Arabidopsis thaliana: one gene and its partners. The protein of the gene in region 2 interacts with the protein of the main gene of each other region in a pairwise test. Each region holds a gene or a part of one and is shown on either strand. Other genes may lie near its edges.

What was found.
Region 1: the proteins of TAFII21 (region 2) and TAFII59 interact in a two-hybrid assay, tested with the Arabidopsis thaliana proteins (one study listed by BioGRID).
Region 3: the proteins of TAFII21 (region 2) and TAF4 interact in a two-hybrid assay, tested with the Arabidopsis thaliana proteins (one study listed by BioGRID).

What each region holds. Positions count from the first base shown.
Region 1 is NC_003070.9:1,402,585-1,409,440, forward strand, and holds TAFII59 (TATA BOX ASSOCIATED FACTOR II 59), read right to left. Parts: upstream 4,948-6,856; 5' UTR 4,845-4,947; exon of another isoform or gene 4,622-4,844; 5' UTR 4,601-4,621; coding exon 4,475-4,600; intron 4,375-4,474; coding exon 4,288-4,374; intron 4,059-4,287; coding exon 3,957-4,058; intron 3,864-3,956; coding exon 3,755-3,863; intron 3,474-3,754; coding exon 3,373-3,473; intron 3,297-3,372; coding exon 3,159-3,296; intron 3,072-3,158; coding exon 2,976-3,071; intron 2,651-2,975; coding exon 2,526-2,650; intron 2,166-2,525; coding exon 2,033-2,165; intron 1,743-2,032; coding exon 1,617-1,742; intron 1,529-1,616; coding exon 1,022-1,528; 3' UTR 1,012-1,021; intron 857-1,011; 3' UTR 501-856; downstream 1-500. Other genes in the region: AT1G04945 (HIT-type Zinc finger family protein), read left to right, coding at 1-67; AT1G04960 (golgin family A protein (DUF1664)), read right to left, coding at 5,437-5,616, 5,874-5,930, 6,033-6,110, 6,213-6,245, 6,347-6,421, 6,768-6,856. UniProt on the Arabidopsis thaliana protein: TAFs are components of the transcription factor IID (TFIID) complex that is essential for mediating regulation of RNA polymerase transcription. Required for proper pollen function. May stabilize the interaction of TFIID with selected promoters.
Region 2 is NC_003070.9:20,213,399-20,216,925, reverse strand, and holds TAFII21 (TATA binding protein associated factor 21kDa subunit), read left to right. Parts: upstream 1-1,660; 5' UTR 1,661-1,791; intron 1,792-2,040; 5' UTR 2,041-2,056; coding exon 2,057-2,317; intron 2,318-2,559; coding exon 2,560-2,850; 3' UTR 2,851-3,027; downstream 3,028-3,527. Other genes in the region: SPL2 (E3 Ubiquitin ligase family protein), read right to left, coding at 1-103, 286-407, 499-660, 749-847, 1,075-1,446; RSH3 (RELA/SPOT homolog 3), read right to left, coding at 3,165-3,476.
Region 3 is NC_003076.8:17,315,107-17,322,952, reverse strand, and holds TAF4 (TBP-associated factor 4), read left to right. Parts: upstream 1-1,767; 5' UTR 1,768-1,808; coding exon 1,809-1,847; intron 1,848-1,947; coding exon 1,948-2,053; intron 2,054-2,823; coding exon 2,824-3,338; intron 3,339-3,423; coding exon 3,424-3,516; intron 3,517-4,385; coding exon 4,386-4,431; intron 4,432-4,570; coding exon 4,571-5,205; intron 5,206-5,454; coding exon 5,455-5,579; intron 5,580-5,744; coding exon 5,745-5,832; intron 5,833-5,918; coding exon 5,919-6,054; intron 6,055-6,146; coding exon 6,147-6,202; intron 6,203-6,283; coding exon 6,284-6,340; intron 6,341-6,417; coding exon 6,418-6,558; intron 6,559-6,637; coding exon 6,638-6,706; intron 6,707-6,788; coding exon 6,789-7,011; coding exon of another isoform or gene 7,012-7,079; exon of another isoform or gene 7,080-7,115; coding exon 7,116-7,345; 3' UTR 7,346-7,492; downstream 7,493-7,846. Other genes in the region: AT5G43140 (Peroxisomal membrane 22 kDa (Mpv17/PMP22) family protein), read right to left, coding at 1-24, 146-374, 1,054-1,383.

The DNA of each region.
Region 1 (6,856 bases), about 19 Mb from region 2:
CCAAAATTTAGATACTGATTTCATCGCTGATGGACTAGATTTAGAAGAAGGGGAAATCGTCGAATGATGGTCATAGTCTTGTTCTGGCAAAAAGGAATTACTCTCTGTGAAACATTTTTGAGGATTATGTTCATGCCTGAAGCTCTCTTGTTCGAGCACATTAGCTATACTTGGTAATAGCCAAAGCTTTTACTGGAATGCAATAAGCCACAGCACTGATGGTCATAAGTTTTCGGTCTGGGCTTTGATCAACAGGTATTTCTTTTGTAGTAAACCAGATTACTAGGCTGTTCTGTGGTTTGTAGCAAACTTGATTGTTTACATACAAGATAGTTAACTTAAGAATGTCTCCGAAACTTTTGTTCAGTCTTATCCTCCTATAGATCCTCATAAATTAATCTTGTTGTCTTTCAGATCTTCTTTATAGTCAATGTAATACAGACCAAACCTTGTAGTTTGCCCAAAAGTTTTCTAGCAACGGACCAGAAGGATCAACAATAGATATAATCTATGAACGGATATTATATGTAAAGAGTAAATAAGCAAGAGAGCATACATGTAAACAACAATATCAAAAATTGCAATCTAGATCATACAGATTTGAAGAGAAATTATTTCATGGATTACATTTGAGAGTAAACAAATAAGTCCACTACGGAATCATTAAAATTCTCTTAATATATACATTGCAACCGGTTCAATTCAACTCAACCCACTCTGCAGGCTCCTAAGGACTTTGAAATCCCTCAAGCTTAAAAAGAAGAACTAAAGAGTTGACCTGAGAACAATGGCACGGATCTAAATGAGTTTATGTATGCCAACCAGACGGCGCTTTAATCTCTCCAAGCCTCCTTCTCTGCTTGAAAATCATCAAACATCTATTTCATTAGCATTAATGTATTGAGTATCATTATTCTTTTGATTTCACATATTTATTGCATTCACGACTGGAACCATGAGTTTTATATCGATGAGGTAAATATCAGGAAGTTGGGGAATAGAATAGCTCACCTCTTATTGGTTAGAGGAATACTGACATCTCTGTAGAAGGGATAAAGGGAAGAATCCTATCACCATAGAGTTCGTGCAGTTTCACCAATAGCCGTCCGGAATCAAGATCATCTTTCCATATCTGATCAAGGATTGCTTTCATGGTAATAGCCCGACTCCTGCCGCTTTCTTTCACCTTTCCATTTCTGCTTTCAGATTCGTTAGCATCAGAGGCTTGTTCTGATGAGGATGGCTGAACAGAGTTTTGTGGCGGATTGTCATTTTCCACTGGATTATCTACTTGCATTGGAGCTGAGCCAGATTGATCTTGTGAATGTACACCATCTGGCCCATCCATGGTTATCAATCTTTTCTGCGGTGATTGGTTTTCTGAAGAATCTACACTCAGCTTCCGCTTGTGGGGATCAGTACTGATTATCTTTCCCTTTCCCTTTCCCTTATGGAGAAAACTTGGTGACGGAGATGGTAAAGGTGGGAAGATTTTAAGCCGGCCATGTATACACAAGCCTGCAGCACGCTGAAAAGAAAAAGGGGGCAAGTCCATCTAAGGATTGTCCACTGAGAATTCTACAAAGATGAAATTTTACAAGGATGTGTTTACTAACCAGCAAGGCTCCATATACACGCCAAGCTTCGTAGATCTTCATCTGATTTTTTTGCTTCTCAGCATTCAATTCAGGTTCGAGAAGACTTAGATATGGTTCGAGATTTGATAGAATAAGAAGGCGTACCTACACAATATATGACATTCAGATGACAACAGATAACAATGCAGGATAGCTGTGCTAAAGTTTTTGGTAGCAGGGGTATCTGATTCACTGGAGTAGCCGTTTAAGACGATAAAAGTCCTAATTTCCCAATAAAATGAATAAGCAAACCCGGAAAAATGGTATGGGCAAATCAAATTGTATCTCAGATTCTGAAAAGTCCCTAGATTGAAGGACAAGCTGGGTAACATTATTTCTCGGTGATATCTGAAATAGCATGCACAAACTTTCTGAAAGGTCAAGGAATGACTTACAACAGTGTGCCCCAAAGCTGCTAATCCTTGAATCGCACCATAGTGCTGAGTCAAAGCCTTCTTTGGGTCCAGCAGTGCATTGACTAAAGTTCTGGTAAGACGAGACTGAAGAGTTATATAAACGGTTCCATACCTGCAAGATTTTATTAAAATCACAGGATTTCAGATGCTAAAAGAATATAAAGGTGAGATATGTAAAATAAAAGTGCGAGACAATGTACCCTTTTAAATAATGAAGAAGACTATAGCAAGTTATTACTAATTGTTGTTAATATAGATCTAACCATTTGTTTTTCAGCTCGAGCAAAAAAGAAGTAGATATCAATAGTAAAGAGATCAAACAAGATAAACTTAGCAGAACATCTATGGATAATCATCTCATGATATTTCCTTATAGAATTTCATTATTAGCTCCAGTAAGAAATCATGTATAGATCCCCACAATCAACCAAAACAAACACAGAGTTCATGACATGAAAGGGAAATAATGAACCTTTTACATATCAGTGAAACCAGATTTGCCGCAAAATCTCTGAGTTCCCAGTGGTTGTCAGCAAATCTATTTCCAAGCTTTCTTGATACAAGGCATGTTACAACAGATGGCATCAACTGGTGCAGCTGGCACCAAAAGAAAAAGTTCACTCAGCTTCATGGTTATGAAACATTGCTCAAACAACCAACTCATTATCCCAAGGCTGGTTTACATAATCTCAATACAGATCAAAGGCAAAACTTGTTGTTATTTCAAGCAGACTGAGAGTACTTAAGCACTCGAGCTTGCAGACCTCGGACAAACACTACCACTAACCATTTGATACCCATTATATAGAATATGTCTAATATAGAACTTGAAGAAACCCAAATCAGAAGCCTAAAGAAAATGGAGCTACATGATTCTACAATTTTTTAGATAGTGGCAAAAGATAATCCAGAGAAAACTTACATAAGGTTCTATGTGTATGTGAGGATTCTGTAGAAGACTTCTAACAATGTGCATTAGATTAAACAGGAGTCGGAAGTCATTTAAGCCATTTGAAACCTGCACAAGTGGAGAAAATTAAAACTGCAAAAACTTAACGTGGGTCTTATTGGTTCACACTAGTTCCTCGGTGGTGCATAATGTTACCTCATCAGCAATGAAATTTGTAAAATATGGAACTAGAGGATGAAGTCCTGAGTCTGAGGCCAAGCTCACTAATGCTTCTTTATACAGAGGAGGATTTGACTTGCTCATTGCAAGTTCAGCAATCTTTTGGAAGTATAACTGTGAAGAGAGAACAACAGATAAGTCCTATGTATGTAAGGATATTACCCTATGATATTTAGACTGCACCATATACCTGAAGTTCCCTAGATAGTACATGCTTCACTGGTAGCCTAACGTCAATAAGAGGTCCGTCTTTTTGTTCATGGATTTTGGTTTCTGCAGGTGCTCTAATGACTAGAGACAACACAAACAAGTGAAAAATATAGTCAAGATAGGAAAGAACAAGGATTTCTTGCTCATGCGGATCCGCAAAACAATAATACAGATGGATCTGAAAATATGTATTTTGATCTTTCAGTAACATCAGTAAGCTCACCACTTAACACGGGGTAACTGTAGAAAGAGGTTTATACACCTCTGAAACGTCATTGTACATACTAATATTTGTTTCATGTTGAAAAATTCATATAATGACTTTACAACTCTAGCCCAGGGCATAAGATTGAGAGACAAACCTTCTAAAGGAGCATTTTCTGGTATAGCTGGTTGCACTCCTTCAATAGCCAGCCAGTGACAAACAATTTCAGTATCAAGGGGAGCTTTTGGCAGCGGGGCTTCGATCACCTAGAATCATGACATTTCTTGAAAACATAAGGAACCCAAAATGAAGAATTTAACTGAAACAAAAAAAACATGCCAGCTTTTCCAACATCTTACATCTTTGAAATCCACTTCTCTGTCATCAGTGTAGAACAAATCGCGATGTCCAATAGCTTTTCTAAAACGAAATGGCCCTCCTGAGGCAAATCCATATATCGGCTGCAATAGATATAATCACTCTCAAAAAGATGCCTTTGATTCAGTTGACTACAATAGTGAAATATGTGAAAGCAATGTGTAACAGATGGTGTTATTCATATGCACCAGTAAAGCCAAACCTCAAAACTAGAAACCATATATCTTTGTCACTCAACTACAAAAACCAGGAAGCTTACACAACCAAAACTCTAGATAATGGGAAGTAAGAAATAGGTCATCGAGTTTGTACCTCAACGTTCCTTAAGTTGAGAGCACCATCTACATCCGAAGCTGTTAAAGTCGTTCTCTTTGAGTGACGCATGCATTTGATAGCTTCCTGAAAGGACATCCAAAGAGAAGGTACAGAAAGATCAATATGCTGATACCAGAAAACTCACCTCAAGAACACAAAGACATGATTAGAAAAAGAAGGTAACCTGCATGATCTCTCGGACACGATACTCAACATCAGGAGCAAGCATAAGAGCAGCTTCAGGTAACAAGTTGGTAATCCCAATACTTTGAGCTATTACCTCAACCGTTTCCTTAGGTACAATGCTCATCTTCCCCAGGCTGCTTATCCACTGTGGCGATACAAGGACACAGAAGAAACATCAACAGTGGTTATATTAAGTAAGAAAAAAGCACAAAAAATCATTGGAACCTCCCAATTAAACCATTGTTGGGCATACACAATGAATCGCAATTCAACAGCCCAGAAGACAAAGGCTGCTTCCATACTCCGTAAAAGTGTGAAATTTGTCCCGTTAACCAAAATTCGAGCACAAAAATAAGTTGGAAATTTACATGAACCGGAGAGGGATTTGCGTTGAGCGACGAAGATCCAGACACTTCACTTGAGAGGAAAGAAGCTCCGATTAACCGATGCCAAGCCTCTTGTTAATATAAGAAGCCGGGCCGGGTTTTTTAATTGCTGTCAAATTCACCCGGTTGGACTATTTCGGGTTAAATTAAATTTGGGCTGTCTCTATATCTATTTTGGGCCAAGGCCCAATAAGAGCGAAATATTTTATTTCTCTGCCAACTAAAGACAATTAATCCTACGAGAAAGGACGAAACAAATGTTTCAAGACAGTAGTTCTGTCTTCTGTGGTAGTTCTTTCTATTTTCTACACAAACAAAATTGATCCAAACACAAAAGGAAAAAGGAGCACAAAAGTCCAAATCAATGAAGACATCAACATACGTGAAAGCCTTAATCACACTCTTTCTTTACAAACATCAAGACCAAATATAATTAGGGGCAAACCAAATTGTTGGTGGATGCAATAACATATGTAGATTTTTCTTCTTTTTACATGAAAAAATAATTGCCAGTCCCAGTATCAGAATTTGGGACGAATACAAGCAATTTCTTTGTATATCAACCAAAATAATATTAGGATAGTCCTGAAACATCCCGTACCCAAGATATTCCACCTGGAAACGCTCTATGAACTCTGCTTCTTCCCGCTGCAGTGACTTTTGTTTTTTCCCCCATCACCATAATTTCTTTCGCCATAACCGGCTTGTGTATTACATTTGCATCCTCTTTGCCTTCCGTCAGAAACCGCAGACCCTGGAGTTTCCATAGTTTTATAGTTTTAGAAAGCCAAAGAAACATCATGACATGAAATCATCAAATAACAGCTACTACCACAAGTATTTTCAGGTTCCAATTTTTATTCGAATAAGCTTGATGAGAGATTGCCTTGAATATATGCAAATTCAAGATCAACCATCTCGTTGAATTTTTTCACTATAAGCAACTTTTTTGCGTCAACAGAATGGAAATGCACATTTATATGATGGAAAAAGGTATAGTAGCATTCTTACAGAGAGAGAAGTATTAGTGGATGGTTTTCCATCAATAGGTAATCTCTCACCAACATCCTAAACCACAAAGCCAGAAACAAGATTTTTTTCATTAAGGCCTATAACTACGTGAAAAATAAGTAAGAAAACGTTTCACTTAATTTGTAAGTTAACACTCACCTGAAATACTTTAGTACTTGTGCTGTCTTTAACGCCTGCAACTTGACATAGATGCCATAGTCCAGAGAGGGTCACATCCTAAAATTTTAACAAAAAAAATATCTGTTTGAGATCAATTAGTTTTAAGAAAATTGATAGCGTGAAGTGGTTTGTAGTATCTAATGGTTGTAGACAAATTACTTGTTTGCTTTCAAGACTTTCAATCTTCCCTTCCTGTAAAAATTTCATATAAGAGAGTAAAGATATATTAGCCCCTTTAAAATATGCATATTAGAGGGCAATGATGCATATTAGAGGGCAATGATGAGACTTACTATTCCAGAAATCATTTCATTAAGTTGCTTAAAATCAAACCCAATTTGCGAAATGCTTGATCTCATCTCAGTAACCTGAATTGAAGCAAGATTCCATGTGAGCATTAGCATTAAAATGAATATCAAAGAAAGGCATAGATGGAGTAAATCGCAGATATGAGAATCAAGCTGTAATTTGAAAGAAACAAAGGACTCTACTGTACATGTGAAGAAAAACAGTTCAGGGCCAAAGAGATAGGACGTTAATAAATAAATACTCTACAATCTTTTGGAATTCCTAAATGTGTTTTAAATTCTTCTAAGATGTTAAATGTACAAGAGGAGATCTCTCTCAGACGAATGTATAAGTATCCTAATCTTAAGTCTAAGGAAAAAATAAGGCATCAATACAAGAAAGTGAGAAATAAAACGGGTTCCTTACATCACTTAAGATCATTTTAGATGTCTCATTCTGCTCTTCCACCTTCCAATCCAAGGTCGCTAGCTTCTGAGAAAGATGTTTCCTTGTTG
Region 2 (3,527 bases):
AAGGATGCCAACAGACACAATGCCCAAGATAACGCTGCCCAAGAATATAAAGTTGGTCTGTTCCATAAGGTCCTCAATCATCTTGTCCTTGGTCATCTCTGATCTGCAAAGATTATTCATAAAGATTTATATATGAACAGCAAATAGAGCCTTTCTGCAACAATGGACTAAATCTTGTCAAATGATCAACAGATTGAGAAAACATAAAGAAGAAGATGAAGTAATAATTTGAGCTAGAACGCAGGCAGATATATAAGAACGAAAAATATTCAGATAAAATCTCACAAGAAATAAGGAAGATCTTGGCACGATTTGATTTCAGGAACTCCATTATTAAAACTGTAGATGCCAACAGCTGTTATATCTTTCCCAGGTGGTAAAATCTTCTCTATATCAAGCAGACCAACCTTGGAAGAGAAAGGATTACAAAGTTAGCCAAGAACAAGTAACCATCAGTTCCTCAAAACCAGAAATTTCTTTGAATATATATATACTCACAGGATAATCGGGGTACAAAAAGGCTTGAAGAAACGAAGAATTAATAGGCTGCAAGCGATTATACACAGTGGTAAGCGGAAGAGGTTGCCTTGAGCCATCCATGTTAACAGCGACAAAACTAGAGTTCGATTGCTGATCCTTTCCAACAATGACAAATGGGACCTGCACAAAGCAAAGGATACACAAAACAAGTTTGATCATGGATACAGAGCCAAAGTTGAAAGCTCTGAAGCTGATAGAGAGACTTTACCGTTCTCGTAAAATCAGCACCGTGTTTGCGCAATGATCTCTCCAACATAAACCGGTGACCAGTGGACTGAAACAATCTCTTCCATCCACTATACACATACTGTCAACAACAAAATGATGACATTAGAAACATACATTTCCCTTCTGAGATCACACCAGTACCAACTTACATAATCCTAACTTAATCAATCACAATGAACACCTAATCATGAAGAAATCATCCAAACTCTTTAACCTAAGCCTTTGATAAGAACACAAAGCAAAATTAGGTCAATGTCAATTGCAATTTGAGGGAAACATAAACACTTAGGGTTTAGAGCAACGTACAGTTTGCGTTCTCTGAATGATAAGAGCTTTATCTCCAGTCTCCGGAGAGATTAACACGTTGTTGTTCTTGTAACCCTCATCACCGGAAATTTTCGGTTTGACGACTCCGCGAACCACAACGATTCGCTGATCATTGCTCTTCCTGTTATCGTTAGTCTCTGATTTGTCTTCAGAAGCCGGAAGCAGTGATCGGAGGTCGGAAATGGAGACTTCGGGTGCATCTTTGATCTTCTTCAACGCGGCGTTGGTAGAAGCATACTTGAGAGCAGAACCGACGGCGCTAACAGCTAAAGTCAGTCCGAGGATTGCGCCGTCGAAGGAGAGAGCGATGTCCGTCAATAGATTCAAGAGAGCACGCTCCGGCGAGGACATTGTGGTAATTTCGATTTCAACGTCGTAGACACGGTCACACGGACAAGTAAACGGAAGAGAAATGAGGCTATTATCGGTATTTAATATTATACATTCGACCGTCGTTCTAATTTGGGTCTTTAATGGGCCTATGCACGAGTGAAATACAAAATACTAGTAATAAATAGCGTTTTAGTTAAATTACATTTACACCCTCAACGTTACAGCAGATTTACAAACCAAAACCATAAATATCAGATCTAGAGTGGCAGAGATTAGTATTTCCCGATTCCTCGCCGCCGTTCATCAATCTCTCCGTCGTGTTTCTGCCACTAGCTCTCCACCAAACTTTCTCTCTCGCATTAGGTATTTATCGCCTCTTTATGGCATATAATCTTGTGTTTTGGAACTTATTGATGAAGCTAGGTTAGAATCTCCTTTGTCTTTCTTATCTCCGATTCGTGAAGCTCTAATTCTTATTTATTCGATTTATGTAATGTGTTGCTGTTACACGATGTTTGCTTGTGAGATTCGATTGAAACTTGTGTTGTTGCAACATCAATTCTGTATAAGAAAGGTTCTTAATTTGACTCTGTAGCTTTACTTTTTTTTTAGTTGTTTAGGGATAAACATGGCAGGAGAAGGTGAAGAAGATGTACCTAGAGATGCTAAGATTGTGAAATCTCTGCTTAAGTCGATGGGTGTAGAAGACTACGAGCCTCGTGTGATACATCAGTTTCTGGAGTTATGGTACCGGTATGTGGTCGAAGTGTTGACAGATGCTCAGGTTTACTCAGAGCATGCTAGCAAACCCAACATTGACTGTGATGATGTGAAGCTCGCTATTCAATCCAAAGTTAATTTCAGCTTCTCACAGCCTCCTCCAAGAGAGGTATGCATTGTTGACGATTCCATGTTTCTTCTTCTTCATTGTCTGAGAAGAGATGCGATATGATCGGTCATTTGGTATATGTGAATCATTAGGGAATTATCACTCTTACTTATGACTTATGAACTGTGTGTGACCCTCTTGCCTCATAAATTGTATCACTGAGAACCTCAAGTTTTTGTCTGTCACATCCATGCCTTTTGGTTCCTGAATCTTGAAGTTTCTGTTTTTGATGTTTGATTTAGGTTCTGCTTGAGCTTGCTGCAAGTAGGAACAAGATACCTCTGCCAAAATCGATAGCAGGACCCGGTGTTCCACTCCCACCTGAACAGGACACATTGCTGAGCCCAAATTATCAGCTCGTGATACCGAAGAAGTCGGTTTCAACAGAACCTGAAGAAACCGAGGACGATGAAGAAATGACAGATCCTGGACAGTCCTCTCAAGAACAACAACAGCAGCAACAACAAACCTCAGACCTTCCAAGCCAAACTCCTCAAAGGGTCTCTTTCCCACTCTCTAGACGACCCAAATAAGTACCCAAATAAGTAGATAGACCAAAAAATCTATAATATTTATGTATCAACAAGTAGAAATGTAACACAATCAAAAATTAATGACCAGAGCCAGTTTTTATGGACCAGATCCAGATGTGTGGTTTGAAGATTTAGAATGTAAGAGAATCAAATATTAATGACCAGAGTCAGTTTTTTAGAACATATAGGCATATCTTATATACACTGTTGTGTGGGAATCAACAATACCGAAGGTACAACAAATCTTCTGAAGCATTATACTATATATGCAACTATAGTATATATACATGAACAAAGGTAATTAAGAGAATCAGTTAGCTTCCCCAGCCAACCATGGTACCAGTAGCTGCACGGTGAGGCCGTGAAAACGCAAGCCCTCGATCATACATCCGCTGAATTTCCTCTCTGTATTCAGTCAGAGACTTGTCAGGTATGGCTGGAGTCAGCTCCACCACATCTCCCATCTTCAGCTTGCATTTCAGATCACTTACAGGTGTCTGGTTAAGTCTTGGCCTTAGCTCTTCCTTTGCCGGGATGCTGTACATTGACCATCTCGAGCTCCCTGGTCCTGCTCTGCGTAACAGGTCCGACACGGTAGAATTCTCGGGAAACTCTTGCACAGTCATCTGCATTTTCGGGTTTATCAAATTATAACTCCAAGCAAAGAAACATCCTCA
Region 3 (7,846 bases), on a different chromosome or scaffold from region 2:
CCACAATTTCCTCAGAATTTTCGCCTTAAAAAGGACCAACAACGTGCCAGAACCAATCTCATAATGAGCACCATAAATTTACAGGCAGAGAAACCGTAAAAAGCTAAATCCGTTCAATCCATAGAGGTTTGATTATGTTATGTACCTTGTAAAGCAGCATTGTAGGAATAGAAGACTGTGTTGCTAACAGGTCCGAAAAGAACCTGCCCCATCATTATTTTCTTAAAGGTTGTCAACACGTCGCGCTTTGGCAATATCTTCGAAAGATAACTGAACCACAGATGCTGAGACGGCCCGAGAAATATCAACCCAAAGCTCGCCATTCTCGCTGTTCTTATCAAGTCAAAAGAACCAGTTGGCTCCATTGTGATCATCTGTTGAAGAATTTAGAGAGTCAACACAAATAAAACAAAACAAAAGGTTCTCTAGTTTCGCTCTAACATATTACTGGGGGAAGAGCACCACAACATGATCATAAAAAGACTCAAAAGAGAAATCCACTAATGACAAGAAGAAAAACAGAGTTTACAAGAACCCCAACACACACACCTAAAGCTTTTTTCACCTTAGCAATAAGTATTCACAAGAGATAATAACAAGAAGATTAGACTATTCGGATTGGAGTGTGAGTTTTCTGAGTAATCAAACCAATACTAAATTCATCCATTATTCAGTACAGAAAGACTTCAAATTCACAAGAGTACAATATACAGATTCAGTAAACACTGTAAGTACAGTCTCACACATCAAAGAACAACAGTTGAGAACACAGACTAAACCAAAAATATGAGAATAACAATTCATTAAAAAACACCAACTTTTAGTGCTATCTCCACCTATTCTTTACTAAAGTATTATAACTTCTTCCACTAGTAAGATTATGATCTAGTTTCAAATCAAATTTGGAATTGTCTTGGTATAATAACAAATGAAGATTAGTCTTTTCTTCCTAAATCAAGAGATAAAATTCAAAACTTTAACAAAATTCTCTAATTAGTAATGAAATGAGAAAGAACCCTAAATTCCAAAAACTACAAAGATTCAAAAAAAAACCTGAGAAGTGAGATCTGCAGCCATATAGATGACAGAAGTAGTGATACTCTTAGTCATAAAAGGATGTGATTCGAGCTTTCTCAAATACCATCGTAGAAACGCAGGTTGTTTCGAAGAAGAAGACGAAGCCTTCGTCGTTAGATTTCGCGACACGGAGAAAACACGAGGGATTACGAAATTCCCAGTTTTGCGTAGCTCGTGAATCGATCGGCCGGAGAATCCGAGAATCGGTTTCCGACCGGTGAACACTGTTTTCAAGAGAGCATTGTTGATCCCGTGAAGAGAGCGACGATCGGAGAAGAAACGTTTGCTCAATCCAACGATATTCATCTTCTTTTTTCGCCGATGCTTCGTTAATGGCGGCAGCTTACACTGTACTTTTGATGTATCTCTCTCTCTGTACCAGAACTTTTAGTCTCAATACACGCAAACAACAAACAGTGCTTAACCAAAACCAATAAACGACATAAAGTTTGATATATCTCTCCACGCAATAAAGCAAACGACAGCGTTTTTCGTATTCCATTAAACGTCATGCAGTTTTTAAAAGAACACCAATAAACAACATGAGGTTACTCATCCATAACAAACGGTATCGTTTTTTTTCGATCAAAATTAAAAACGACATACAGTGCTAAAACAAAGCTAATAAACGACATGAGGTTAGTTTAGGACTAATCTTATAACATCTGTTTCCTATTAATTCATCTACGCCGAGAGCTCTCTTTCTCTCTTTGCCTTCCCCAGCTATTTCAATGGATCCTTCAATTTTCAAGCTCCTTGAAGAAGATGAGGTTAGGTTTCTAATCTCACTCGTTTCAAAATCCAATTTTGTGTGATGTATCTGGAATCGTCTTCGTGGTTTTTGATTCCGGTCGAATTGTATTATTTTAGGATGAATCGATGCATTCAGGAGCTGACGTAGACGCGTTCCAAGCTGCTCTGAATCGTGATATTGAAGGTTCTATGACAACTTCAATACCCCACGTGACAAACCCAGGTTTGGTTTCTCTACAAATTCGCTCTTAAATTTTATGTCTGAGATTTTAATTTTTGTGGTACTATTAGTTAATATAAAGATAGTATCTTTTGGTTTTATCTTGGATTGGCTGCTTTGGGAAGCTTTGACATGTTAGCAAAGTTGTGCTTGTTTTTAATATATACAGTTTTCTCAGATAGGTTATTACTCTTGGAACATGGATAACTTAAGAAGATGCCTTGGTTAGGCTATATTGTAAACCTTGCTAATCTAGTGACATGTTTGGAAGTTTCAGTCCTGTATTAAAGCAATAGTTAAGGTCATGAAATATTAGTTTGTTAGGGTTTCTGTATGTTAATATCGGGATAAGCTTTGTCATTGCCAATATAGCCTGTACTAGTTGATTGTTGAGTCATTAAAATTGATCAGTGTGATGGGATTTATTAGCCAGGGTAGACATAGGTTGGTGATGCTGATACTATTTTAGTGTTAGGCTTTGTTCTTGGTTCACTGCAATCTTGACGATGATTACGTGTCTCCTTAAATCATTATTTTCTGTCTCTGGTGCTGGAAGTGATCTCTTTCCTCTGACTACACCATTAAATATTGAAATACAAATAGGTTGTGATTTGTGGATAGGTGTATGAGAGCTACTGAGTATGCATTTTGTGTGCATAATCTGCTACAACAAAATCCTGTCTTTTGTCCTTTTTTGGGTATTATATGATTTTTCCTCCAGTTTAACTTGTGATTTGAGTATCATCAACCAATTGCTTCTATTATTTTTATAGGAAACAACCATTCTTCCAGGCAGCAGTTTTCGACATGGAAGAATGGTATTGGAGATTCTAATATCAATGTCCAGACTCAGCATAGCCTTGAAAGTACTCAGATGAAGGAGCAAGAAGGATCGACTTTAGAAAATCAACATCAACATGATTTGAAACGCGCAAATGAACCTCATTTACAACACAACCAGCCTCAAGACCTTCATCGAGCTGGTCAACTCTGGGAGAATCCCTCGCAGGTCCCCCAATCAACTGGGTTACCGATTAGTGAAAAGAATCCTACTGGTAATGAATCAGATAGATCCCATAATCAAGAGAGTGAATCTCAGTATATGAAACTGCAAAAGATGAGTAGTCAACAGGCTCGGGGAGTGGAACCGCCTGTTAACCCTATGAATGTTAACCCTATAAACCGCAACCCTAAGCAAGTACCATTTGCTGCTTTGCTTCCTACTTTAATGAACCAACTCGATAAAGATAGAGCACTGCAGCTCCGTACCCTATATGCTAGACTTAAGGTATGTCTATCTGTGAAATCATTTGACATTCTGTTCCAAAGCTATTGTATTATCATTTCTTTCCTTCTGCTACTTTTTTTTGCAGAAAAATGAAATCCCCAAAGAGGGGTTCACACGACATATGAAAGATATTGTGGGCGATCAGATGCTCAGGATGGCAGTTAGTAAACTCCAGCAGGTATTACCATTTTGCATATATTGTGCCATGTTGTGACTAAAACCAGACAACCAACCTAGGGTATTAGTTTGTAAGTGGAATCATGTTGGAATTGTTTGTCTAAAAGTTCTGCTTGCTAGTGCTTTACATTTTTACTCTTTTTTTACATTTGCTCTTTGAATTTAGCTGGATCAAAAGACTATTGTTTTTTATTAGCTTGAATGCACATAGAATGGTCTGACATGAAGTAGAACTGTTGATAAGTCAAATGATGTTTAGAATATATATTTTAGCTTCATAAATTAGATACAACATATTGAATTAGGGAAAAACTCTTTATTTTCCTCTATTTTGATCACTACCAAAAAGTCGAGATTTACTTTCTTACAGAATACCAATCTTAGCAGATTATTATTCCTTTCCAAAGGTTATCAGACTTATGCCTGGGATGATCTAATCATATGAGTTTACTGACTTGCGTTTGTCCCACATTTACATGTTAAAACGGTGCTAAATTTATACGTCCAGCGTTTGTGGTCAATGTCTGCAGAGTAGGACTAGTTCAAGTACACCAACTGATACGATTTAATCTTATTTCCCATTATAATTATAATAAGATACGAAAAGTTTAGTCCAATTCTAATTAGAATTTCTATTTTCTTTCCCTTTTTCGTTTGGGAGTTATCTTTTCCTATATATAAGGTTGAAGCTCTTTATCTTTGTCCGAGGGAACCAAAGTTATTCTCTTTGTTCTGTTTTCTACTATTTTAATGAAGGTTTTGCTTTTTGAACTGGGTTCTTAATTCCAACTAAAATTGTGCTAACCGTTGAAGCATTTGAAATTGGGTATAGATTCTTATTTATTTGTAATTTGTGCTCATTGTTTTCAGGTGAACTATAACCAGGGAAAAATTGGAATTCAAGCTCCTTCTACTGGTATAAATTATTCACTAATGCATTCTTTTTTATTTTTCTTTCACCATTATCATAAAAGCTTCTATACTCTCCATAGATATATCTTATTACTTCCATGCAGGAGCCAATATCTTACCTGATTAAATCTATTCATTCGCAGAAATCAATAATCAAAAATCTCAGTCTGATCCTCGTGCAGTCCATCTTAACCAACTACCGTCCTCAGCTTCAGGCACCTTAGGCAGTTCAGTTCCGGTACAGGGACTTACCAAACATCCGCAGCACCAGATGCAGCATCCACCAAGTTCTTTTCCTATGTATACCACTTCTGGTAGTTTTCATTCATTCCCGGGTCCAAACACCAATGCTTCTGGTTCCACGTTGAGACCTCACCTTCATGATTCCCATATGAGACATGTGGCACATAACCAGCCTATGGGATCAACTGGTCTTGGAGGACCGCCCCAGTCTACCACAAACATGATGACTATGCCCAAGTTTGAGAGGCCAAGTTCTGTAAATGATCCGAGTAGGGTTCAGGGTGGCGCTACATCGCACTTCCAGAACAGCTCATCATTGCCTCTAAATTCTGCACCTGGTCAAGGATCATCAGTGTCCCACGTAAAGCAGGAATCAGTTGATCAAAGTTTTGAAAAGAATAATGCAGCCTCAATGACTTCGAATGAGGACTTAGAGAAGGAGTCCTCTAGAATGGTTTTATCCACGCCTAACAACATGGCGCCTGCAAGCTCTGTTTCTCCTTCCATGACAACTCAACTAGACGCCAGCACAACTGTAAGAGATCTATTAATATATAGTTTTCTCATTATAAAAGTCAGTCTCCACTGTTCTTGTTTGCCTCTTCTCTTTGAGCTGCTGGGGCAACTATGGCGCTTCAAAAGCCCTTGCATATTTTCCGTGTTATGTCCGACAACCTGGACATCTATTGTTTTTCCTTGTTTTGGGTTTTATAATTTCTACTATAAACAGTAAATAGGAAAAGTTTCAATTGGACATCATTAACATTGTTTGTGTATCCATCAGATGAATTCTCGTGGCCCATTGGGAACCTCTCAAGGAGGAGCTAATGCTAGGATGCCACCCAAAAAGCCTTCTGTTGGTCAGAAAAAACCTCTTGAGACATTAGGTTCTTCACCTCCACCACCAAGGTAATTGATCTGCTCAGGCTTAGAAACAGGGAACAGTTTTTTAAGTCACTCTTTCTTCGTTAATAATAGACTTCTGATGTATGGATTTTTAAGTGTAAACCACTTTTCTTTTCGAGTCCCCAAGTAATATAAAATCATAATCGTTTTGCATGGATCAACTTGCAGCAAGAAGCAAAAAGTAGCAGGGAATTCTATGGATCAAAGTATTGAACAGCTCAATGATGTCACTGCAGTCAGTGGTGTTAATCTCAGGGTGCGTTTCCTGGTAGCTTCAGTTTTCAATTTTAATCTGGATGTAGATTACTGAAGTAAATCATTTTTTGTCTGCATTTGATTTAGGAAGAGGAAGAACAATTATTTTCTGGGGCCAAGGAAGATGGTCGTGTTTCCGAAGCATCTCGGAGAGTTGTGCACGAAGAAGAAGAAAGATTAATCTTGCAGAAGAATCCTCTGCAAAGAAAGCTGGCGGAAATTAGTTGGGATACTTCCCATATCTTCTTCTATTTTAATTTCTAGTTATTGAATCACTTGGAGACGAAGCTTACATATGCTTTTCTTATCTGGCAGTGGCTAAAGCCGGGTTAAAGCAGATAAGCAATGATGTCGAACGGTGCTTATCTTTGGTGAGATGTCAACTTCGTGTGCATTGTTTGCATACAATACTTGAGCTTCTTTTTCCCCTTTTCTCATGTATTTGCTTTCAGTGTGTGGAGGAAAGGATGCGAGGACTATTATCCCATATAATTCGGTTGTCAAAGCAGGTCAGTCTAACTTTCTCTTACTACCTGGTTCAACATTGTTTGATAAATTCTGTCTGAAGCTAAAAATGCTTCTTCAGCGGGTTGATGCTGAGAAATCTAGGCACCGGACTTTTATCACATCAGATATTCGGCTACAAATCAACGAAATGAATCAGAAGGTGAAGGAAGAATGGGAGAAGAAACAGGCTGAAGCAGAAAAGCTTAAGAAACCGAGTGAGGTCTGTTCTGAGCTCATTATCTATGTTCTTATGTTTACTACAACACACAGACATTGCAAATTTCATCTTTTTGCTGCAGAGTGAAGAAGGTGATGGTGGAGTTGACAGTGAGAAGGATAAAGAAGATAATCGTTCAAAGGGTGTGAAGGTATGGAGAAATTAATAATACATTTGTGGAAATTAATAATACCGTTGCAGTGTTCTTACAAAAGTGGTTTCGACATGTGAAGGGAAATAAAGAGGATGACGACAAAATGAGAACGACAGCTGCAAATGTTGCTGCTCGTGCTGCTGTCGGAGGAGATGATGCGTTCTTAAAATGGCAATTAATGGCTGAAGCTCGTCAGAAATCTGTATCTGAAGCTGGTAAAGATGGGAATCAGAAAACTACTTCAGGTGGAGGAAAGAACTCCAAAGATAGACAAGATGGTGGACGACGGTTTTCTGGTACTGGTGAGTCCATCCTTTTTAACTTGTTTCCCCTAGCAAAGCCGATGAACAAACCGATAAACCCTCCTTGAAAGCATGAAATGCTGCTAGTGTTAGGAAATGCTAAGAATCTAGCTGTGGTGTGGGGATTGTCTATCGAGTTAGTTCCTCACGGTTTTGGTTTGCGATGATGAGCTTTGGATTCTTGTTTGCAGGTGGTCGAAGAGTAGGGAAAAACCAAGGTTCGTCGCTTCAACCGAAAGTGGTGAGGACAATCTCTGTGAAGGATGTGGTTGCGGTCCTCGAAAGAGAGCCACAGATGTCCAAATCCACTCTGATGTATCGATTAATTCAATAGAAAGAAGAATCATTATATTTATAAGCTTCTGATGATAATTTAATCGTCAAGGCCCCAAGTCATTTATTTTTATACCATTGTGATTTGTTTCTGTTATGTTCATTGTTTTTTCATGGCCATTTCAACTCAAACGTCAATTTACAACACATCTTCTAGTGACTCATATCTCAATACTTTGCATCCAATGCAAAATTGAAAGACAAAAGTACTCTTTGTTAAATCATATACAGTATGTATCACACCGTCTAGTTAGCGACTGGACCCATCAAATAAATAATCACAAATTATTAATATGGTTGCTATAACTTCATTACTCTTATTGATATTTCTTGTAAATAGATGATAAAAATATTGTGTTTAGTCCAAATAATACACGCAAACTCGAGAAATTTGTCTACACTAAACCATATTATTCAAGTAAAAGAATGAGTAAAGATCACGCGGAACTTAATTGTGGTTTTGTGGTCCTCCCCACCTTCTGTGACTCGCACCTCTATCCCA